3 linked regions of the Oryzias latipes genome follow. The protein of the gene in region 1 purifies or fractionates together with the protein of each later gene. This does not show direct contact. Links are inferred from orthologs where the notes say so. Each region holds a gene or a part of one and is shown in the gene's direction. Other genes may lie near its edges. The genes, in order: cpsf3, sympk and ube3d.

The links.
Region 2: the proteins of cpsf3 (region 1) and sympk fractionate together in Homo sapiens (co-fractionation; 6 studies listed by BioGRID and IntAct, with this or other methods). This does not show direct contact. The link is inferred for Oryzias latipes from reciprocal best matches to the Homo sapiens genes CPSF3 and SYMPK.
Region 3: the proteins of cpsf3 (region 1) and ube3d purify together in Homo sapiens (affinity purification with mass spectrometry; 4 studies listed by BioGRID and IntAct, counting the BioPlex papers as one, with this or other methods). This does not show direct contact. The link is inferred for Oryzias latipes from reciprocal best matches to the Homo sapiens genes CPSF3 and UBE3D.

Annotation. Positions count from the first base shown.
Region 1 is NC_019882.2:22,751,023-22,759,175, reverse strand, and holds the start of cpsf3 (cleavage and polyadenylation specificity factor subunit 3), read left to right. Parts: upstream 1-2,655; 5' UTR 2,656-2,712; coding exon 2,713-2,783; intron 2,784-4,804; coding exon 4,805-4,868; intron 4,869-4,943; coding exon 4,944-5,041; intron 5,042-5,117; coding exon 5,118-5,246; intron 5,247-5,633; coding exon 5,634-5,811; intron 5,812-5,885; coding exon 5,886-5,975; intron 5,976-6,699; coding exon 6,700-6,850; intron 6,851-6,936; coding exon 6,937-7,112; intron 7,113-7,822; coding exon 7,823-7,981; intron 7,982-8,153. UniProt on the Homo sapiens protein: Component of the cleavage and polyadenylation specificity factor (CPSF) complex that plays a key role in pre-mRNA 3'-end formation, recognizing the AAUAAA signal sequence and interacting with poly(A) polymerase and other factors to bring about cleavage and poly(A) addition.
Region 2 is NC_019879.2:16,685,882-16,693,006, reverse strand, and holds part of sympk (symplekin), read left to right. Parts: intron 1-1; coding exon 2-55; intron 56-153; coding exon 154-227; intron 228-323; coding exon 324-450; intron 451-547; coding exon 548-797; intron 798-906; coding exon 907-1,077; intron 1,078-1,164; coding exon 1,165-1,404; intron 1,405-2,075; coding exon 2,076-2,227; intron 2,228-2,306; coding exon 2,307-2,457; intron 2,458-2,580; coding exon 2,581-2,803; intron 2,804-2,882; coding exon 2,883-3,033; intron 3,034-3,150; coding exon 3,151-3,386; intron 3,387-3,474; coding exon 3,475-3,556; intron 3,557-3,652; coding exon 3,653-3,766; intron 3,767-3,830; coding exon 3,831-3,978; intron 3,979-4,064; coding exon 4,065-4,225; intron 4,226-4,917; coding exon 4,918-5,026; intron 5,027-5,162; coding exon 5,163-5,263; intron 5,264-5,352; coding exon 5,353-5,443; intron 5,444-5,706; coding exon 5,707-5,808; intron 5,809-6,118; coding exon 6,119-6,306; and 7 more. UniProt on the Homo sapiens protein: Scaffold protein that functions as a component of a multimolecular complex involved in histone mRNA 3'-end processing. Specific component of the tight junction (TJ) plaque, but might not be an exclusively junctional component. May have a house-keeping rule.
Region 3 is NC_019874.2:4,396,450-4,404,685, reverse strand, and holds the start of ube3d (E3 ubiquitin-protein ligase E3D), read left to right. Parts: upstream 1-2,979; 5' UTR 2,980-3,158; coding exon 3,159-3,247; intron 3,248-6,722; coding exon 6,723-6,931; intron 6,932-7,315; coding exon 7,316-7,406; intron 7,407-8,236. UniProt on the Homo sapiens protein: E3 ubiquitin-protein ligase which accepts ubiquitin from specific E2 ubiquitin-conjugating enzymes, and transfers it to substrates, generally promoting their degradation by the proteasome.

The DNA of each region.
Region 1 (8,153 bases):
TTTAAAAAACTTTTGTACTTCTCACTTTTCAAGTCACAACATCTTCTTTGAAAAGTTAATTCGGGATAAAACCCCTAAAATAGATGTATTCAGAACCAGAGAGGATCTAAAATAGATCAGAAATATCTAAAATAAGAAATTCAGAGATCTCACAGAATCTGAACACACCTGAACTTGATACGGCTGTTCCCCAAATGGCCAGTGGGAAGTCACCAGGACCTGAGGAATTACAGCTGAGTTTTATAAACACTTTTGGAATAACATCAAAGATTTTTTGCTAGAGGCGTTCAAGGAATTAACAAACATTAAAAGAGGCATTACATCCCTTTTAGCAAAACCAGACAACGGTGTGTTATTAACTGAAAATTGGAGACACATCACACTTCTCTGTTGTCATAAAATATGAGCACATGTCTATGCCAACAGAGTGAAATCAGGAATAGGTCAGATCATAGATGAAACACAGTCAGCCTTTATTAAGGGGCGACACATTCATCATCAGACTTGTTTAATCTTAGATATCTTAAGTTACAACCAAATTATCCCCCATAATAGTCTTATCCTCTTTCTGGATTCTTTTTAAGGCCTTTGACTCATTAGAACACGCATTTTTGTTTAGCTCCTTGGAAACCTATGGCTTTGAATCAAAATTTTGAAACATAAAAAAAAATGATCTACAAAGACATAAATAGCAGAATTATTCTTAACCGAGGTTTCTCAAACAGCTTTCCTGTAAATAGAGGTGTTTGCCAGGGATGTCCTATTAGCCTGTTGTTGTTTATAAGCTCAGCTGAATACTATAGCCATCTTTCTGAAATATTCTCCAGATTTTGCGTTTATTAACATTTTAGGTAAGAATTTTAAAATGAATCAATTTGCTGATGACACGGCTTTATTAAAAAAATATATATATATATATATATATATATATATATATATATATATATATATATATATATATGTGTGTGTGTGTGTGTGTGTGTGTGTGTGTGTGTGTGTGTGTGTGTGGTATATATTGTTATTGATAAAATGTTTTTTTTTCAAGAGCATCTGGCCTTATTCTAAATCTCAAAAGATGGGAAATCTTGCCTATTCATACCTGCACTCTAAGTAATATTGAAAATAACCTGTGAAGTGAAATATCTTGGTCTAATAATGACAGAAAACAGTAATGATAGAGAAAGTGTAAATATTACCCCCAGACTGAAAACAATATAGAAACTTTAAATCAGTGGTTGGGACGTGACTTATCCATATTTGGCCACAATCTATTATCTAAAGCAGAAGGTTTTTCAAGACTTGTGTTTCCCTGCCACTCAATCTATGCATCCCCAAAAACGATCAAGTTGTCTAATTCTATTCTCTTTAAATTTATTTGGAAAAATAAAACGTACTTTTTACTAAAACCATAATTGGTTAGAGATAATAGATAATAATGGCTCAAAAGCTTTAGATGTTGAATTACAAAGTGTAGCATTTAGAATAAATTGGTATCGTATGAAATCTATGTGGTATCATATCCCAAACAAACTCTACCGGAGAACTATCCTTTTGCAGAAGTGTGAATATGATCTGTCAAAAAAACATTTATACAGTCAAACATTTACAAGCAAGCATTAGAATTTGGGAAAATGCCAACAACTCCCACAACTTTTCCCCCCACAATACTGTTTTATGGGACAACAGAATTATACAGTAACTGTAAACAAGATATCCTTGTTTATGTCTTAGTGGTGTGATGATGGTGTGTTTTTTGTTCATGACTTGGTGCGTACAGATGCAATGCTGTTATCCTACAATGGGTTTGTAACCAAATACAAAATTAAGGATTCTAGTTGCTGTTATAAAAAAGTCTTTAAAGTAATTCTCATACCTTTACTTAATCTTGTTCATAAAATATTACCATGCAATCAAACCACACTTTGCAGAGTTAACCATTAATGATATCCCCATAAAAGATAAAAATGCAAAAATAAATTAGTGACTCTAACCTTTAAACAAAAGGTTTTTCTCTCACAATAGACGTGACCCAGAAACCACCTTGATAGACTAATCATTTTCTTTATACACAAAATACTTTCACCTAAAATGAAAGAAACGGATTTTAAATAATATCAAAAATGTACCCTGTTGGAGATTTTTTACATAAAAGATTCAAATTTCAATCCAAACCATGTATTTTCTGAAACTGAAAAATTAGAACACTGTTGCAAAAAGATAAAATTATTCATAATCAATTGTCACTTAAAAATTGTAATATTTCTTCTTTTTCATTACTTAATGTTCTCTTCTTTATGGAAAACCTGAACGTTTCTGATGTCATCAATCTTGTTATTATTTTGTGTAGATGTAGACACTCTATTTAGGTATGTAAATGGGGGGGGGGGGGGTCCTTTTTTATTTATTTTTCAGATATTGTATTACTTTAAGTTTCTTTCCTAAATGCATTTCAAACCAAAACAAGAAACTACATAAATGTACAGAAATATATCCAAACTATTGTTATTTTAAATTGTTTTTTTGCCTTATATTTACCTATTTTTAAGAATTTTTTTAGTTTTTGTTTTTTATTTGGTTTTGTACTTGGTTTGTAAAGAAAAAAATAGAAAGAAAGAAATAGTGGGGGCGGAACTTACAGGCGTTGTGTCGCACGGAGAGTTTTCGGGAAGAACCGGAAGTAACAGCAGGCGCGGCATCGTTGAAGAAGCAAACATGGCGTCCAAACGCAGGGTGGACGCGATGGTTCCTGCTGAAGAGAGCGACCAGCTGCTGATCCGACCCCTGTGAGTGTTCGAACCGAACCCACCGAACACTGCAGCTAGTGAGCCGTCACCGAATAACAACGGACACTGGCGGTCAAACCTAAATGGGCATTTCCGCTCCATGTCTAAACTGAGCGAGATTTATTATGCTTTCTAATATACGTTCATAATTTCTGTGGATTTGCCAGGTTAAAAAAAATGTTGGCTTGTCATCCCGCTGCAGATACATTTTTTTCCACTTTTCTGGACCTTTAAAGGCGTGAGCTCTGAATGTGAACATGATGATGCTGAAGACTGTGCAACTTTTGCCGAAAGAGAAACAATGTTTGAAGACACCAAAAACACCTCAAATGTAATAATAGTTTAATTTTCACAATGAAAACATTAAACTATGATGACGTTTGTTGCAGATACAGAAAGACAGCAGGAAATCAAAGCTCACGTTCATTCAAATTAGTTTATGGAAGTGTTGCTTTCAAGTGCTGTAGGACATTTAAGTCACTGGTGGAAGTCACCAGAGAGAAACAAACTTTGATGTTGACGATCAAATATTTCAAAATAACATGCAGGAACATTTTTCCTAATTAACTTGTAACAAACAAACAACGTGTGATTCCAGGTAGCTGATTCCTTTGGTTTCGACAGTAAAACATAATAATGAAGCTTCAGTTTCCTGCTGAGTTTTGGAGAATGCCGTGTGTGTGTGTGTGTGTGTGTGTGTGTGTGTGTGTGTGGGTGTGTGTGTTTGTGTGGGGGGGGGGGGGTGTGTGGGTGTGTGTGTGTGGGTGTGTGGGGGGGGGGGGGGGGGGGGTTGGGGTGTGTGAGTGAGTGAGTGATGTCCTGGTGATGCGGGTGCATCTTTTTTAGACAAAACCTTTGCATTTCAAATTGCTTTTTTTTAATTTTCTATCGATGAGCCTTGAGTCTCCTAAACATTTGAATGATTAAACTTTGAGTTGGTAGTGATTTCAGTCAAAGTAGTTTCCACACCACCTTATGGTTTCTGAAAAACCCAAAATGGGAATTTTGTTTCTTTTGCTCCCGGCTTTCCAAGGACAAATTAGCAGAGTTAGATTTTTTTTCCATTAGTTTTTTTTTAAATTAAATGAAAATTCATTTAATTTAAATGGTAAATGGCGTATACTTGTATAGCGCCTTTCTTCCTACAAGGACAAAGCGCTTTACAGTCACAGACCCATTCACCCAGTCACACACACAATTTGCTGTTTACAATTTACAACCAGCGTTATTGTAAATAAAAAAATCCCATTAACTTATAGCTGAATTGAATTAATTCAACCTGACAGCTGACTCTGACCTGTTTGGGAGACTCATTGGTGCCTGACACCTTTGGATTGTTGCTCAACAGTTGGCCAGTTATCCCCACATGGTTGGAGTCCTTGCGGCTTGAGTTTCCCCCATGTCACAAGGAGGGTGAGAAGTATCAAACCTCTCCAGTCCAGACTAAGTTCTCTCCATTGGTCTTGTATGAGGTGAAGCTGCAGCGTTGCACATCCCAACAGGAGAAATGACTAATTACAGTGACAAAAATGTAAAGGAGGTAGAAAAACTTGGGCAAGTAGTTGAGGACCGGTCCACAGAGGTTTTGATCACGTTGATCCACAAGTGCCCCCATTCTTTGTCATTGAGTTAAAAGTCTATGTCAGGGGTGTGAGGATCCAGACTTCGAGGGCCGATGTCCACCATCTTTTCCAACCAACCTGTCCTTGTTATTCACCTTTCGGCATATCCCTTCAGGGTCGCCACAGCCAATCAGCTTCCACTGATTCACACAGGTGGTTTGGCAGGTGTCCTTCCTGACACAACCCTGTATTTATATCATGACTGAGGACCCAACCAACCTGCCGTTGAAGCTCCTTATTGGATAAACCCACCAGGTCATGAGCTCCAGACAAGGCAGGATTTCTGGTTGGGCTTTGAGGCCTGGAGTTGGACCCCCCTGGTCTAAGCACTGTGTTTGGGTACTTTCATGAGTAAGCACAGCTCTTTACTGTGTGACTGTTTGATGTGATTGTGACCAGGGGGGCTGGACAAGAGGTGGGACGGTCCTGCATCATATTGGAGTTCAAAGGGAGGAAGATCATGGTGAGATTCTTTTGGTTTTCTTTGTCACAGCAGCTGTTAACATTGTCAACAGCTGTCTGTGTGTTGGTACTCCAGCTAGACTGTGGGATCCATCCTGGTCTGGAGGGGATGGACGCCCTGCCGTACATTGACCTGATCGATCCGGCTGAGATCGACCTGCTGCTCATCAGTCAGTAAGTGAGAGCTGCCGTGAACGTGTGCAAAGGTGCACATGCAGCTTTCCACTAACCATCCATTCTTGTTGTACAGTTTCCACCTGGACCACTGCGGAGCCCTGCCTTGGTTTCTGCAGAAGACCAGTTTTAAAGGGCGGACGTTCATGACGCATGCCACCAAAGCCATCTATCGTTGGCTGCTGTCAGACTACATCAAAGTCAGGTACAACTCGTGTTGGAGTGAAAGTCTTAGGTCTGATGCAGCAGATCCTGTAGGTTAGACGTCTTAGTAACCCTTGTGCTATCCTAGGCACTTTAACATTGGGAGTTGGGTCATCTAGACCCACTAGACAGTGCTCTGAACCTGTTTTCTTCAATGATTTGTGATCTTCATTGGTGTCCATGGATTACATGAAATCTTTCCACCTTTATCCACCTTTGTCATGGTAGGGAGAACACGTCATTGGAAGGGGGGGGGGTCATCTAAAGTAGCACAAGGGTTAATGCAGCTACTTCAGGTTCTCTAGTGATGCCGTAGGACCTGTGGCTGATATTCTGGAGTTGGGGCACAGCTTGGGTTTTTTGTTCTGACCCGTCTGTGTGTCTGCAGTAACATTTCTGCTGATGAGATGCTCTACACGGAGACGGACCTGGAAGACAGCATGGAAAAGATTGAGACCATTAACTTCCACGAGGTAAAGGAGGTGGCTGGCATCAAGTTCTGGTGCTATCATGCTGGCCATGTGCTTGGAGCCGCTATGTTCATGATCGAGATCGCAGGAGTCAAGGTAGGTTTGTGTCTGGATCCGTCTTCCTAAAGCGGTTTGTCTCTGGTGCTCAGTGCTTGTCTGTGTCCCTGCAGTTGTTGTACACAGGAGACTTCTCCCGCCAAGAGGACAGACACTTGATGGCGGCGGAGATCCCAAGTGTGAAACCAGACATTCTCATCACAGTGAGTTTGGCTTTAAACCCCCCCCCCCGATGATCAGATATTTTTCCTCCCCTTAGTGACCAGCTCAGGCGCAGGCTCATGTCTCATGCTGTCTCATGTTCAGACATCAGTAGGGATGCAGTACTGAAACGGTATCGTTTGGTACCAGTGCCACGTCATCAGTTACTGGACTGATAGGTTTCAGCCATAATGGGATCAACGGTACCGGCCAAGTGGGGCAGCAGCGCCCACACAGCGTGCACTACTTTGTTTGAATGTGGCTGCTTTTCCTTTCCTGCTCCAGTACGACGGGGGGGGGCTGCTCATACTTTGTCCCTCATGTATTCCACTGCTAACAAGTGTGTAACGACAAACGCACAGTGATGGCAGAGCGACGCGAGCAAAGGGTCCAAAGTGCGGCTGGATTTTTCTAAAGTACATGCAGACAGCGCACGGCGTCTCAAATGTCACAAAAACGTTGCTTCTGAGGGCGGTTAGACCTGTGAGCTGTCCAAACACGCAGCCAAAAGACACCAGACTCTAGATGGAAAGTGCTCATGTTATTAATGCAAAAACACCGTAGGAGTTATTGAGAATTTTGTTTTACTCATTAAATGAATATACCGAGTTTTAATGAATTCTAAACTAAGAGCTTTTCGTCTCCATAGTCTGTTGGTCTGGTAGTATTGGGTCCTCTGTCCCGTCTCAGAATGGTGTTGAACAAATATCTGATCCTTTCTGTCAGGAATCCACCTATGGAACACACATCCATGAGAAGCGTGAGGAGAGAGAGGCCCGTTTCTGCAACACGGTGCACGACATTGTAAACAGGGAGGGTCGCTGTCTGATCCCCGTGTTTGCTCTGGGACGGGCTCAAGAGCTGCTGCTCATCCTGGGTGAGTGCACAGGCACAGATCATCACCTTCTGGTTCTGAAGCCTGTGATGATGGTGACGCAGAAACTGTTTGTGCCTGTGGTCCAGACGAGTACTGGCAGAACCACCCAGAGCTCCACGACATTCCCATCTACTACGCTTCGTCTCTGGCCCGGAAATGCATGGCTGTCTATCAAACCTACATCAACGCCATGAACGACAAGATCCGCAAAGCCATCAACGTCAACAACCCTTTTGTCTTCAAACACATCAGTAACCTGAAGGTGAGCACAGAACTGCAGCAGCAAAGACAAAGTCACACGCCAAAGCCACATTTCTGACATGTTCATGAAACTCAGAGCATCATTTAATGTGCACTTACTGAACTGATGGCATCACAAAGTTGTAAGTGAAGCGCTGTCCCAACCCCCCCACCCCTCACCAGACTGTCATGCTCTGTCATGGTGTTGCTCAGCCTGGGAGGAAGCTTCCTCCCAACAGTGTGGAATGTGTGACACTGAAGTGATGGAAGGAGAACAGCACAGGCGTCAGGAAGCATCGGCCTCTTCCAGGAGACATGAACACAGTGGAGGAGCTAACTCCAGCTGGAGAGTGGAGACATTGCTGCTCATGTGTGTTCTAGCACTCAACTTTTGACACTTTATTGCATTTTCCTGTTCTTCAGCCTAATGTGACTGGTTCATCTCACACCACTGGAGAACTTGCTGTTTCTCCCAGGATTTTGACATAAAATGTGGCATAAAAAGTCCAGGGAAAGACACTTTTATTTCAACAGAGGCAACATCGTGGTAATGATTTAAGCAGAAAGGGAAAAGTGACACAGTTCCCTCTTATTTAAATGTAGTTTCATTTGAAACAGCTTCAATGTTTGTAAAAGAGGTGGTTAAAGAACAAAAATTAATGACAAATGAAACCGTTAAAATAAGAGTTTCTGTTGAAGCCGCCTCCTGTATTAATGCTGTTGTGCTTTCAGAGCATGGATCACTTTGATGACATTGGCCCCAGCGTGGTCATGGCGTCCCCCGGGATGATGCAGAGCGGTCTGTCCCGGGAGCTGTTTGAGAGCTGGTGCACGGACAAGAGAAACGGTGTCATCATCGCTGGATACTGCGTTGAGGGAACGCTGGCCAAGGTGAACCTGCCAAGAATTGCTTAGCCAAAGCCCCCGTCACTGGGGGGAAACCCCCTCCATCTCTGCAGCGCTTTGAACCAGCTGGAATCCTGCTGACATGCAGCTGAAGGACTGTGGGTGGCAGTGTGTTGCCATGACAACACGGAACACATTAGGGTGAAGATCAGTCCAA
Region 2 (7,125 bases), on another chromosome or scaffold:
GGTTCAAGAGCTCATCATCAACAAGGATCCGTCCCTTCTTGACAACTTTTTGGATGTAAGTAAGCACCTGCCTTTCATGGCAAAGGAATGGTAAGCGTGTAAGTTAAAATCGGCCCAGTCATGTTCTTGTATCTTGCCAATTCTATTTTACAGGAAATAATAGCGTTTCAGACCGACAAATCAATAGAAGTGAAAAAGTTTGTCATTGGATTTATAGAGGAAGCATGGTTAGTTGTTTGTGTCAACATTTTACATCTTATACACTTTTAAATGTATGTATATTTATTGAAACTCTTTTTTTTTTATATCTATTTCCCAACTAGTAAAAGGGACAATGAGCTCCTTGTTAGACTTATCGCCAATCTAAACATGCTGCTGAAGGATGAAAGTGTAAATGTGGTGAAGAAAGCCATTCTGACACTCACTCAGCTCTATAAAGTAACATTACAGGTATGCACCTTAAAGTCACTCGCATAATTTCCTGCTAAAATAATAGGAATACGGTGTTTTTATGTTCCCACATCTTCTGTTGTTTCTTTTCTGCCAGTGGTTGGTCAGCTCAAAAACACTGTCAGAAATGCAGGAGGCATGCTGGGACTTGATCACTCAAATGAAAGGGGAAGTGTTGGCCTTGCTGGACTCCGACAATGATGGTGTTCGCACACACAGCATCAAATTCACAGAATCTTTAATCATCACTCTCTCGCCGCGGACACCTGACTCTGATGTACCCAAACGCCAGGATGCTGACATTAGCCTTGACAAAGTTCCCAAAGACCATTCGTACATTCACTACGGTAAAGATTTTAGAACTCTCTTTTTTTTTTCTTTTTTTTTTTTTTAAACAGGCATGTTAAAATCTTTCTTACTGCAGGATAGATTTATTACATTCTGTTGAATCAACAGGTACTTTGTGTGAAGAAGGAAAGAGTGCACTGGAAAAGCTCTTAAAATTCATGGTCCACCCAGCTATATCCAGCATTAACCTCACCACTGCATTGGGTTCTTTGGCAACGATTGCCCGTCAAAGACCAATGTTCATGTCAGAGGTGGTGCAAGCATATGAGACCCTCCACGGTGAGTGCTTCTTAGTCAAAAAAATATATATTATCCCCTTAACATTATTATTAAGGTGCAATCATTAATATTTATCTTTTTTTCTAGCTAACCTTCCCCCCACTCTGGCCAAATCTCAGGTTAGCAGTGTTCGAAAAAACTTAAAGCTGCACTTGGTGGCAGTTCTCAAACATCCGTGCAGTGTGGAGTTCCAGGGTCAGATCAGCACTTTGCTGCTGGATCTGGGAATGCCTCAGACTGAGATAACTCGAAACACTCCTGTACCACGAGAGCCTCGCAAGAGGCCTCGCTATGAGCAATACACAGAGGGAAAGAAGGTCAAGATTGGTGAGTAGTTCACCACAAAAATGCAGACTGCCTTAGAAAATAACATTTTTATAAAAAAAAAACAGTCTTTAAAGGACTTGTTGAAAGATTACGAGTGTTTGTTTTCTTGCCATCACTTGCAGAGGCTGTAACTTTGCTTTACTTAGTTTTTCTTTCTGCACAGGTTAGTCTCTATTGCAGCAGCATCACACCCAGAGATTCTTTAGATTACTGTGTGGTGACTCTGTAGTTTTAGATTGACTAATAGAAATAGAATTTTAGATTCAAAATTTTAGGTTATTCTTGCTCTTTTCTTAATTCCCCCACGGTTTATATTTTAATGTTTCATTTTGTGCTATCAGTGTGGATTATAAATTCACTATGGATTTGTTTTAATTTGTGACAACAATTACAGACATTTTTTGAATTTAAAACATATTTTGGGTACTCCGATCCCGTTTCATTACAGGTTTTCTTTTCTTCTTCTTTTTTTATTCCAATAATGTTGTTTTTGGGAATATTCTGAATGAAATTAGCATAACTCATGTCTAACCATATTTGGGCATCGGAGGCCTATAAAAATTGCTTTTGCAAAGACACATGGTTTCTTTATTTATTATGGTTTTTTAAAATTGCTTTTGCAAAGACACATGGTTTCTTTATTGATTTATGGTGCGTGTTCTACTGTTTAGAACCAGCTCTTATGGAAGATGATGAAGACAAGGAGGAGCCAGCCCCCCTCGCAGCCCCCAAGCCAGCGGCCGTTCCAGCCGTGCAGTCTGCCCTTGACCTTACGGCCGAGTTCCTTCACCCGCTGCTAACTCCTGAAAATGTCGCCAACCTCGTAAGTGTCTGAGATCATTCTCAGGCTGTCTTTTTTTCTGAGGGTTTGTGTCCTAAAACTCTTCATTACCTCGGTTTAGGTGCTCATCAGCATGGTGTATCTGCCTGATGTGATGCCAGCATCTTTCCAGGCCACATACACACCTGTTGAATCTGCAGGTACTGATGCGCAGATTAAACATCTGGCCAGGATGATGGCTACACAGATGACTGCAGCTGGAATTGGTCCAGGTGAGCATCACAAACGTGCACCAGAAACACTTCATAGTAAAAGAAAAAAACATAAAACGAAATAAGAATCCTCAAAGATGCTGGTTTGTCTTATATGAGCATTTTCTGAACTTTGAACCTTAGGTCTTGAACAAAGCAAAGCAAAGGGGGATGAGGCTTGCAAAGAGGAACAGAGCGAGGAAGACTCTACTGCTAAAGACATTCTCATCAAACGCAAAGTTCCTGCTGTGATCTTGGGCCAAGCCATCTCTGTGGTCGGAGGTTACTCCGAGAAGCCCTCTGCTACGGAACCTCCAGCCGCACCAAAGAGGCTTCCAGAGCCCATCCTTCCATCTGCACCAACCAAGTGAGTTCTAGCACTTCATTCAGACAGCAAAGAGGGTGAGATCTCGCTTGTCACCCCGCATGATTCTGGTTCTTTACAGGTTGATGGGGGCAAGCGGTAGGAAAAAAGTGTTCCGCTTGTCAGATGTTGTTCAGCCTCTATCAGACACCCAGAATGAGAAGTTGACTTCAAGCGCTGTGAAGCGCATTTTACATTCAGAGAAAGCGATTGCACAAAGTGGAATGTCCCATGTGAGTAACCCAAATCAGGATACATCTTGACTTTAACGAGTGCAGGGGGGTTAAAACTGGATAGGGTCAGTCTATTTCCTTCCTTTGGGGTATAAGAATGTAAAATCTGTGTTGCAGATCAGAGTAAAGCTCCTCTCCAGACTTGTGACACAGTTTGAAGGAATGATGAAAGAGGACGTACTTCAATTTATTTTAGAGGACATCCGGTCAAGGAGTGATCTGGCCTTTTCTCTGCTCTACCAAGAGTATAACACTTACCTCAGCCAGCTCCCTTCAGGCCTGCTGGACAGCTATGATCAGTGTCTTTTCACTCTGCTGTCAGGCCTGCAGGAGAAGCCTGAGCAGAGGGATGGGTAAGAACACATGCTTGGTATCAAGATTTGCTACATTGCTTTGGTTGCTGTGTATGTATAGGAAGATTTGTGTGTTCCTTATTTCTAGGCTTTTCACCAAGCTGGTACTGGAGGCTCCCATTATAACCGAATCTGCATTAGAAGTAATCCGGCGTTACTGTGAGGACGAGGTAAAAAAACAAAACACAAAAAAGCCCAGCTGTACTCCGGTGGCTACTTCTCAACCTTTCCTTCAGCATTCTGTGAGCCATTTCCTTTCGTTTCAGTCTCGCGTATATTTAGGAATGACAACTCTGAAGGAGCTCATAGTCAAGCGGCCCTCCAGGCAGTTTCAGTATCTGCACGTGCTTCTGGATCTCAGCTCCAACGAGAAAGAGAAGGTGATGCTGGGATGGGCACGTGTCTGATCTGTTCTTGTGCTAAATATCTGCTCTTCCATTTCAGGTGCGCACCACTGCCTTGGCTTTTCTGAAGCGCATGTATGAGAAAGACCAACTGAGGGATTACATCGAGAAGTTTGCTCTAAACTACCTGCAGCTTCTGGTTCACCCCAACCCGCCATCTTTGCTCTTTGGAGCCGACAAGGATACAGGTTTGTTCATAACATATCTGACTTATGATTGTGATGATGCGATCTTCACATTTTTGCCTCAATGCTCTTTGCATTTGTTGACACAGAGGTGGCTGCCCCCTGGACTGAAGAGACAGTGAGACAGTGTCTTTTCCTTTACCTGTCCCTGCTTCCTTTGAACCACCGGCTGGTCCACGAGCTGGCTTCCGTCTACACTGAAGCCATTGCTGACATCAAACGCAGCGTCCTCCGAGCAATAGAGCAGCCTGTAAGGCTTTCCTCACTCATTTGTTTAGGAAAGTTTGGGTTGTTTGAGTCATAAGCAGCGTGAAACATAAACCAACCCCTCAGAATAATAATAAAAAAAACAATTTAACAGTCAAACTTTTTAACTTTATGGTTTTGCCTAAATCACGCAAATTAAAACAAAACATAAAATAAAATCAGAGTTCATGCTTCCATTGATGAAATGATGAGAATGTTTTAATTGGTCAGCAGTAATGCCACTGTAATGCAGGTTTATTTTAATTGTATTTTGACCTATTTATGGGTTTACCATTATAAACTTCAGTACATGAGTTAGTTTGTACATTCCATCAGAAAAAGAAATTATTCTACTACTTTTCCTTTTAAGGAAGTGCCTTTAAACACCAATTGAAATGTTTTTGTGTACATCTTAAATTAGTCTAAATTTTTTTGTTTGATTTCATGTTTCAACAAAAATTTCCTTTTTTTCTCCCTATTTTCAGTTTTTCTCTACATTCTTGAAACTTCTCACCTCACACCTCTTCCTTATGAACAAAAACAAACAGTTTGAGAGCAGAACGAGATATTAGATCTCTGTACCTTTTTAAAGTCTGATGAAGGGCTTTCACAAGACCTCAAGAAAATCAAAAAGGAAATGATTTGAACTAAATCATTTGAGTAGTTTGTGCTTTTTGATTTATCTCTTTGCTTTAGATTCGTGGAATGGGGATGAACTCTCCAGAGCTGCTACTGCTGGTTGAAAATTGTCCTAAAGGAGCAGAGACTCTGGTCACTCGCTGCCTGCACATATTGACTGATAAAGGTAATGTTTAATTTGTACTGGATTTAGGTCACAGAGTGGAGATTTTTCTGAAAGGAAAATGTATTTTTGCATGATTTGGTGCATTGTCCTCCATGAGAGCGTACAATGAAATATGTGGAAACTGTCTTTATTGTAGTGCCACCATCACCAGAGCTGGTGGAGAGGGTGCGAGACCTTTACCACAAAAGAGTGCCAGATGTTCGCTTCCTAATCCCCGTCATAAATGGTCTTGAAAAGGTGCCAGTCTAGTTAACAGTCAGTGAATCAACCGCTAGGATTTTTCGGGATTGTCTTTACTATTCCTGTTTGTTTTTGGTTATCTATAGAATGAAGTCATCCAGGCTCTCCCTAAACTCATCAAACTGAACCCGATTGTTGTGAAGGAGGTCTTCAACAGACTCTTAGGAACTCAGCACAGTAAGAGCTATTTTTATCTAATGTTTGCATAATTCTTTGAATCCATGCTTAATTTTAGACATTTCTACTACACAAGTCCAGCCCAATAGCAAATTAAGCATATATTTGATTAAACATGTTAATTAAATCTTTAATGCTAATTTCTTACTTTTATTTATGAAAATATATTTACTTATATTTGAAACCAGATCCATTGTTTACTGCTGAGCTTTATTTATAGTGGTAAAGGTGACTGGTGTTGACCCTTGGTCCTGTTGTTGCAGGTGAGGGAAGTTCATCTGTTTCCCCTCTCACTCCTGGGGACCTGCTCATTGCCTTACACAATATCGACTCAGTCAAATGCGATATGAAATCTATCATTAAAGGTCAGTGATCAGAGACACCTGAAACAAAAATGATGACAGTTTGGTTTTTAAGATGCTATCAGACATTCCCTTTGTGAAAGCCATTTTTCCTTTGATCTTCAAGTCTTTACCAGAGGTTCTCTAGGAATTTTGGGGACCTTGTAAATCACATCCTTGACTGTTTTTATACATACTTTCAGTCATGTTCTTGTGCCTGACAAAATTCTTCTTCTTTTTCCACTCATTTGTGCCAATTGTGTACAAAGAAACCAAACACTTTTGGATTTATGAACCTTGCCTGTTTGGTTTTTCCTATGTATTTCTGCTCCAGCTACCAACCTGTGCTTTGCGGAGAGGAATGTTTACACCTCAGAGGTCCTAGCGGTGGTGATGCAGCAGCTGATGGAGCAGAACCCTCTCCCTATGCTGCTCATGCGCACTGTCATCCAGTCTCTCACCATGTATCCCCGACTGGGTGGATTTGTCATGAACATCCTGTCGCGCCTTATTGTTAAGCAGGTTAGCTCTACGAAAGAAAAAGCGTCCAATCCAATCAATCTTTTTTTGTACTTGCTGTGCCAGTAAAAAATATTCAGGGAAGTAGGCACTGTTTTCATTACCATCTGAAAGGTTTGGATGTTTTGTCCTGTAGGTGTGGAAATATCCCAAAGTCTGGGAAGGTTTTGTTAAGTGCTGCCAAAGAACCAAGCCTCAGTCGTACAGTGTACTGCTCCAGCTCCCACCTGCACAGCTGGCTAGCGTGTTTGAACGCTGTCCGGAAATGAGAGCGCCTCTTCTGCAGCATGTCCACTCCTTCACACCTCATCAGGTTAGAACCCGGCTTAGTCCTTTCATTTTGTCTGTGTGAACATTGATTTTGTTTTAACACAGTGCCTTTCTCTGAAACAGCAAGCTCACATACCTTCCTCCATCATGGCTGTCCTGGAGGCCCATAAAAAACCAGAGCCAAGTCCTGTGGAGAAAGAGGTAAACACACTTGTATCTTAATAATGTACCATCTGTTTTGAGTTTATGTTTTTAAAAAGATTTGTCTGGCTTTGCCGCATGCATAGAGAGGTTTTTATGAGAAAATCTGATTCATTTACTTATTATGCCTGTGTTTGGTTGCTATATTTTTCTCTTATCCTACAGATGGAACATAATCCAGTTATAGAAGAAACTAATTTTGCTGTGGAGAAAGAAGTAGAATTGCCTGTTCAGCAAGAGCCAGTCTTCATTAAATATGATGAAGAACCAATGGAACAAGAGGAATCAGAACCAGTGATTCAAGAAGAAACAGGCGAAAGCCTTTCACAGGTAACACGAGACATGTCAAGT
Region 3 (8,236 bases), on another chromosome or scaffold:
AGGATGTTTGGCTGATGACAGCCAACTCGATTGCCATCTTTTGGTTGTCTGAAGCAAATAGAGATGTGTCCATGACATCACTGCGTGCTTTATCAGGCATTTTCACCTCAGTTTCCTGCTTATGTAACATGAACTTGGGCTGCTGCAGCTTCTCTGCTTCAGGGTGTGATGGTCCCTCACTCAGGGATGCTCTCCACCTCATGTTGGTGCCATCAGCTGCAAAACTGAATCAGTTTTATCACTTCAAACCAGTTGAACCAGTTTACCAAACGAACCTCTGTTTGGGACTGAGTAACGAGTAAACTTTCATTTGGTGTACAAACTGTTCCGGTGGAAAAATACTTTGAACTTTTCCCTGAGAAGATGCATTATTTGACACGGGTCTTCATTATTTGCTACATCAATGTTGCCTAAGAGACGAAATGGAAGTTCCTGTTTTTGGATTGATTTGATTTGTTTTTGTCTGTTTCTTTATTTGAATGATCTGCACTGAGTTAGAGCGTAACCACCATGCTTTCTTTTAGCTTCAGGTTGGTTTGGATTTTTCAAATGCCTCGACTTACAAAAACCTTTTACACCAAGTTTGTCATGTGCTTTAATTAAAAACCTATTTTTGAATCAGAGGTGCTACAGATGAGACAGACATCACACCTTTGAGCTAAACTGTTTGGATCTAGCTTTAGGTTATGACAAAGTGGAAACTCGCTTTGATGACAGTTTTAACTGGGACCTGGTGATGTCATTTGAGCTGTGGGCGTGGCCTGTCAGGTGAGTGTGGATCAGGTCTCTGACGTAAAGGGTCAGCCAGGCCAAGTGCCTGAATCTTTCATAAAGTGGAAGAAACTGAAACTCTGAAGGCCTCCACTTGACTCAACTGTTCTTGACTTTATTGTATTCCACATATTAATGTTTCGGGAAAGAAATGAACAGGGAGTAACAACAACAACAACAACAACAACAACAACAGAGTGTTTTCATCAAATATAATACTCCCCCGCCCGCTATTCTATTGTTGTGTGTAGACCTTAGAAAAGGCTGCTTAAAGTCGTCCGTTCTACCAAATAACCAGTTGTTAATTTCACTTCGACCCGTGCCATTTTAAAGCGTAAATTTAAAACAAAAACAGTACAAAAGCCTTACCGTTTGGGGCTGTCATTCAATTCTTGCATCCGCTTCGATAGGTAAACACGGCTGCTGCTGCTGCTGATGATGTGACCGTGATGATGAGCAGCTAGCCGTTCGGCCGGGGCCCACAGCCGAGATCAGCCTCTATAACAACACCTGGAGCCCTGAGAGAAACACTGTGATGACAAACCAAAGGCGCTTTTCATCTACATGTTCCTGTTTCTGCCTAATGTTGTCCTAAAAGAAAACCTGAGGTGGACGTTCTGTTCCTCCCGTTGCAGCACATCTAAAGCTAAAGGGCTGACAGTTCCCAGACTGCACTGCAGCTCGGCACTGCGTTCGAGGGCTTTTCCGCGTGGAAGTCTGCGACAACCAATCAGCTCCGGGTATGGTGTCACGAGCGCAAAGGTTACGCCCAATGCTCCAGGAAATCGCACTCCGTGCCTTCATGATAAAATCCTATTTTCGCACGAAAAAGTCTCCAATAAAAAAAAACATAAACGCAAGAGTCTATTTTGGATTAACAAATTCTGTCAATTTTTAAACTTTTTTTCTCCTTTATCTTAAAATGTCCTTTATCTTAAAATGGGCCCTAAGAAACGTTCAAATCAATTGCCCTTTAAACAATCACTTGTTTTGATGAAAATGGTGTTTTAACATGTTCTTGTGCCTTTTTTCTGACGATGGCAGACATATATTAGGAAAATTAAGTTTAAAATTGCCCTTCTGAGTATTTCTCCGTTCAAATATTGTGACTCAGGAGCAGGCAAAAAGTGTCTTTGGAAAAGCTTGTAGTTGTGACATAGAAGCTACAACCGGCATGCCACAAGCTGCCTGCTCCGCTCCATTCTGATGCAGACAAACAGATCCATGTCTGTCTTGTGTTTCCTCATCTGAGCTGGAATCTGGCTCAAAGCTGTACGGCTGGACTGCTCCAATATTGCTTGACATTTTGTTGCACCAGTAGTATAGGTTGGAGTGTGATGGGCTGTAAGCTAATGGGTGAGAGTGTAAACAGAGAACTCTCAGTTATTAGTAATAGGAAGATTGCTTTTTGCCAACGGTCCAGCCCACAGTTTAGAGGAAATTTGTGATAAACTACTGCCACTCTGCAGAAACTATGTCCTAGAAAACAACCATTGTTTTTTTTTCTCCTAAAAATGGATAATCATAATCCAAAGACCACGGGAAATACCTTTAAAACGGATCAAAAGATGACTGGAATTGGACTTTAATTCCACAAAAGTAAATAGACTGTAGAATTAGCCTCAGCATTGCAGTCCGTGTCCTTTTTTTCCTCTTGGCCCTAGGTCTTAACTGTTTAATATCAGCTGGGGAATTTTTTACATGTGTAAAGTGCTCCAAGAGTCAAATTCTACTTCAAGCAAATTTAAAGATGATCTTACATGTGTACAATGCATGAAAAGTGTGATTTGAAAAAACTTTAAAAACAATGATTCAGACGTTGTTCATTATTTCATTATTCACAAAAAATAGATGTTAGCAGTTTTAACAAAATTAATTACCTTTATGATGTTTTTCCCCTCCAATAAATAAATGTGGTCCAGGTTAGATTTTACATTTACAATTGTAAGTAAAATATATTATTATTATTATTATTATTATTATTATTATTATTATTATTATTATTATTATTATTATTATTATTATTATTATTAATTTTATTTATTCATTTATTTATTTAAGAAAAAAACATGGTAAAATATAATGCCCCAATGAGCTGTTATGAGTAAGCCATAATTGTTATACCATCTAATCACACTGCTTGGACAACTAATTAATTTTGTAAACACGTCTTTTATTTTGAAAGTCATTCCCGGATGTTGAATGCTACTACAGGAAAACCAAGACACAAAGCTCTGTGCAGATGGTGCAAACACGGGACTCTTCCTACTACTAGCCCATCACTATCCTCTATTCCTTAGATTGGACTTTACCATCATAACTCACATATCCGGTCATCTTTGGGTTGTTTTTTTTGTGTCGATCCCAAAGCCAAGGATCTGCTAAACATGACAGAACTCACGTCATGCAAGACACGTGGAGTTGGAGTCTTTTGGGAGCTGAGGAAACGGCTCCTGAGTGGACTTCTTATTGTCAGGTAATGTCAACGAAAGCCGACGTTAGCTATTATGATAGATCTAGTTACCTCTGAACTCCTGGACTGTGAGCCTGAGGTTAGCTGCTTAAATAATCCGATGTTGAGTCGCTAAAGTAAAGAATTAAGACTGATCATCACGTTATTGTTGAATAAATCATCAGTCTTCTATAAATGAACCAGCTTAAAGCTGTTAGGAAACCTGGACCAGGGGGACTTGATCACATTTTCTTTTTTATCTATGTACATCTAATACTTTGTTTGAAAAGTTAACATTGATGCGCATATTCATTGATAAATTTAATTTCACCTGATCAATGAATCAAGCAGAATATCTGAAAATGTCGTTTGAAGTCCACAGCAGGCAGCTTCATTTGACCTCTGCACTAAATATAGCTAAATAAATCAGTTTTAAGATTGAATCAACAGAACAATGCCATGAGAATCTGGATGTTGCTGAATGAAAGGATCAGTCTTGAGAACCTTGCAGTTTGGAGAAAACATGGCTTCCTGCTTCTCCAAAGAGCACGTGAGCGTCAGTCTTCTTCAGTCTGCATGAACTGATGGGTTGTCAGTACGTATGTTTCCATACGCATGGTCCACCAGCATACATTCATTCATTCATTCATTCATTCATTCATTCATTTTCTAGCTTCACAGGGCTGCTGGAGCCTATCCCGGTCACTTTTGGGAGAAGGCAGGGGACACCCTGGACTGTTCGCCAGTCTGTTGCAGGGCCACAATCAGACACCCATTCAGTCTCACACTCACACATAGGGACAATTTAGATTAACCAATTAACCTATGAGGCATGTTTTTGGACAGTGGGAGGAAGCCGGAGGCCCCGGAGAAAACCCACGCATGCACGGTGAGAACATGCAAACTCCACACAGAAAGGTCCCCCGTTGATGGGCTGTTTCAGGTCCCCCAGCCGGGACTTGAACCGGGGGCCTTCTTGCTGTGAGGCAAGAGTCCTGTTATTAGTAATGTTATGTAATCTTATTATTATTATTATTATTAGATGTAGTTTTCAACAAAGACCCTTCAATCAATTTTCTGCCTATTTTACAACTTTCCAACCAAAATTAATTTTATTTTAGAAAGAACATTTTCATACAACTAGAAGGAGCTGCAGAAAAGTGCAGGGTTGAATGCTATATTGCTGACTGAAAATTAAACTTAAAGGGTAATAATTTGACCTTCTAGACGTGAGGGAGCTTTGTTTATAGAAGCTGAAGGCTTTTTTCCTCCGTCGACCATATGACTTCACGCCACAGCGGGGGAGATTGTTGAAAGGTAATTCAAAAAAACTGTCAATTGCATAATCTCAAGACGAAATTATGTTGTTGTCCAAAGTCCTGTGAGCGTTTTAACGTTGTAATGGTGTCTGTAGCTGAAAGAATGCCAAAGTAAGGAGCTATGAAACAGGGTGAACTTTGGTGAAAATGTCGGAAGCCTCTCCCATTGAAACCCATTACAAAGCTGAAATTACTACAAAGTTTAAAGGCTTATATTTCAAAAACGAAAAAAAAAACGTGAAAATCTGAAGCTTAAAGTATGTTGAAGTTATAATGGAAGAAAGAAGGAAAAAAAGGTTTTTGAGGATTCCCCATTTATTTTAACGGAGGCAAAAATCCTGGAAATCTTGAAAAGTTCAAGGATTTGAAGGACCAAAAGTCACAACTGGAACGAGCTGAACATTTTAATAGACGAAAGTTCAAAATAGCATAAAAACTGTAGAAGTTGAGCGTCCAAAAATGGCAGAAGATACCATAATAAAGAAAGAAAGAAGGAGAAACAGGAAAACAATGGGTTGAATGCTTTATAGCATTCAACAATTATTGTTTTATACTAAAGAAAGGAGCAACCTTTGGTAAAGAAATTATAATTACATCTAAAAAGTAACTAAGGGCAGTTTTTGCCTAAGTAGGATAAAAATGACAAAACTGACTTTAATTTCTAGGATACGATCAGTGATATTGAAGAACCAATTCTTTAAAAACCCAGCATCTGCTGTAACATAGAGAAAAATGCTATAAAATGTCTTTATTTTTTCTGGTAGAAATAAAAACATACCCCTGGCATGATATGGATTACATCTAGAATATTGAAATAATAATAATAATAATAATGGGAATAATGTTAAAATGATCAAATTAAATTTACTAGTCAAAGCGGTGGGTGCAGTACACCTGTTGTGCCTCTAGATGGAGTAGATCTAAAGATATAAAAAAAATCTTCAGTTCCTAGAGGACTTTCCAAAAGCATTGACCTTCACAGAGCTCAGCACTCTGCTACCACATGTACTTCATTTGTTTTCCCAACAGCTGAGAAGTCCTGTGGTCTCCTGGGAAACCATCCACTGTACATGAAACCACATAAAAGTCCACCCTAGTTCATCTTCAGTCATAGTAGGAGTCTGTCCACCTTTGCAAACAAACAAATGAATAAATAGGAATACTTGTTTGAATGCATTGTTCTTTTGTGACAATGTTTTGTCCCACATTTTCTGAAATTCATAGATTAGGACATGACATTTTAACAATAGGGTTTGGATGTGGCTGTCTTATTAATCACCGCGGGCGAGACTAATTACAAATCCGTTACAATAGTCCATTTTCATTTGGCAGGAGACAAATGCTGCCTTTTGTATTTTACATAACAGCAATAATTGCTAAACTGTCTTTTTTGTAAAAGCGCAAAAAAAAAGAGAAAATAGAATTTTCTGATTATAATAATAATAATAATTATTATTATTATCATTATTATTATTATTATGATTAGGGATTAATATCTTTATAGGAGTTCTATGGCAAAGTATTAAACTATTACAACCTGATGCAGCAGATGTACGTCACATTATCCCAAAAGAAACTGCAACTGTCATAGTTTAAAACAAAGTTAGAGGAGAGGAAAGCTGCTCTTTTACGAGCCAAAAGCCCTTAAATGTTTGCTTGTCGTGTTTTGTAGCTTTTTCCTGAGGTTCAGGAGAAAGACGTTCAAGCGGAGAACTTTAGATTTGACAGATTCTTGGGGGGTTTCAGGCAGTGCCAGACAGTGTAATGAGAGCTGGAGAAATCAATAAATCATTTCATTCATTTCTCAAGTCGCTGCTCTGTTTCCCTGGAGTCTGGAAACATTTTTTAGGGGGAGGGGGGTGATTTATTAATTAATTGTTGAAATGAATGCATTTGAATGAAATGAATTTAGTTTTTATGTATGTATTTTCACTTTTAGTCTGACATTACGATCTCAGACTCTTGCATGTCAATTTTTGATTTAATTTTTTAAAAAGGCTTTTTTTTTTTAGAGCTGCTTGTAACTTTTTACTTTCCTTCAATGAAACAACGGTTTATTTTTTCCACTATTTTTCATGTTTTGCATTTGGTATGTGTTGAGTCTTCTCTTATCGGCTGCTCTAATCCTGTCTGACTTAAATCTGATGGCCAGTCTGCGTCTCTGCCTCCGTCTCCTGCAGGAAGGAGGTGGCCGGAGCTGCTGATGATGTGCTTGTAACCGGAGGAGGGTCCTCTCTTGTGGTCAGGACTCCCAGAGGGCAGCTGGAGCTGGCATTGCCCGCTGGAGTCAGCTTCACGGAGGGGTCCTGCATCCCAACACCTGGAGAATCCAGTGCAGAGGAGCTGCACTTCAGGCTCCGCATCACTGTTGAGCAGAGCTCTCATAAAGGTAGAAGTCCTCACATTTAATTGGAGCCACTCATCAAAGTACTTGAAGGTATCCTATTTTGCACTGAGCATCATTAAAAACCAATAAGCAGCCTCTTTATCTGCCATGCCAGAACTCCCTTTAATTGGTCTGAAGTTTTTGAGCAGCGTCTTGTAAACGCTCATCTTTTGGCTTCACCTGAAATGGTTGTCACTGCCATCGAAACAGAAAGTTATGGCTAAGGACGGCGTGACAGTCCCATCAGATTTAGATTGATCATCCGCTGCACATACAGGTCACCCCGGCCACTCCCGGTTTTATTGATTCTCCTGCTCCGTACTTGAAGGTGAGCTCCCTCTCAGCACACCTGGCTCATTTGTTTTGCTTGGCTTTGGCCCTTCACAGAGGCGTCTGACTGTGTGACGGAGAGTCTCCGAGCAAAAGAGACGTATTGCTTCTACTGCCAGGGCTGCATGACCCGGCTGCTGGAGGACAGGTAAGGTGCAGACGGGGTTTGGTTACACACTTCTTTGTGTTTATCCAAAAAGGGACGGACTTGTCCTCAGAGCAGTCTGCTGTTCTATGCCTGACAGGTTGGAGTTATAGAGGCTGTGGAACAATAAGGTCTGCACTGACCATTAAAAGAAATGGGGTTTTTGTTTTTACCTATAGGTGCCTGAATTGGTCTTTGGTGTTGTTCTCTTTGCCCTGCAGCTTTGTCTGCACTGCAATGTGATTTGCAGGAAATTGCACTGGCTGCATATTGGGGACCCTGGCCCTCAGGCTGTGCTTGTCAGCAGCTACCCACTGTCACCCAATGAACAGACTTTTTTTCTCCTTTGAACCAAATAGTTCAAAACTTTAGCTTAGGCAGTCCCACAACAAGAATTATTAGTTTTTTAGGCATGAAAAGACACACCAACAGCATTCTGAGCAGTGGAGCTCAAACAATGTATATGGGGGGGGGCACTACAAATGAAAGGATCAAAAATACGTACAGCTGTTCTTTTAGCAAAGAAAAACTATCTTTGTGGAAAGAAAAACGATCAAAGTGCTTGAATTGAACAAAAGAAGACGTCTGAAGCCCCTCATTGTTTATGGACTTCAAAAGGTTGATCTTAAGTCTCTATGGGGGAATATATGATGCTAATTTGACACAAATCCAATTTTCATTTTCAAAACTGTTAGATGGAAATGAAATCATAGTTCTGCGGATTGTTTATTTATTGTTGTGTTTGGTGAGCAGCACTTTGTGGCTCTCATCTTCTATCTCCAACGTTCAATCCAGCCAATAACTGCATTGCATCAAACGTATTGGTAGTTTGT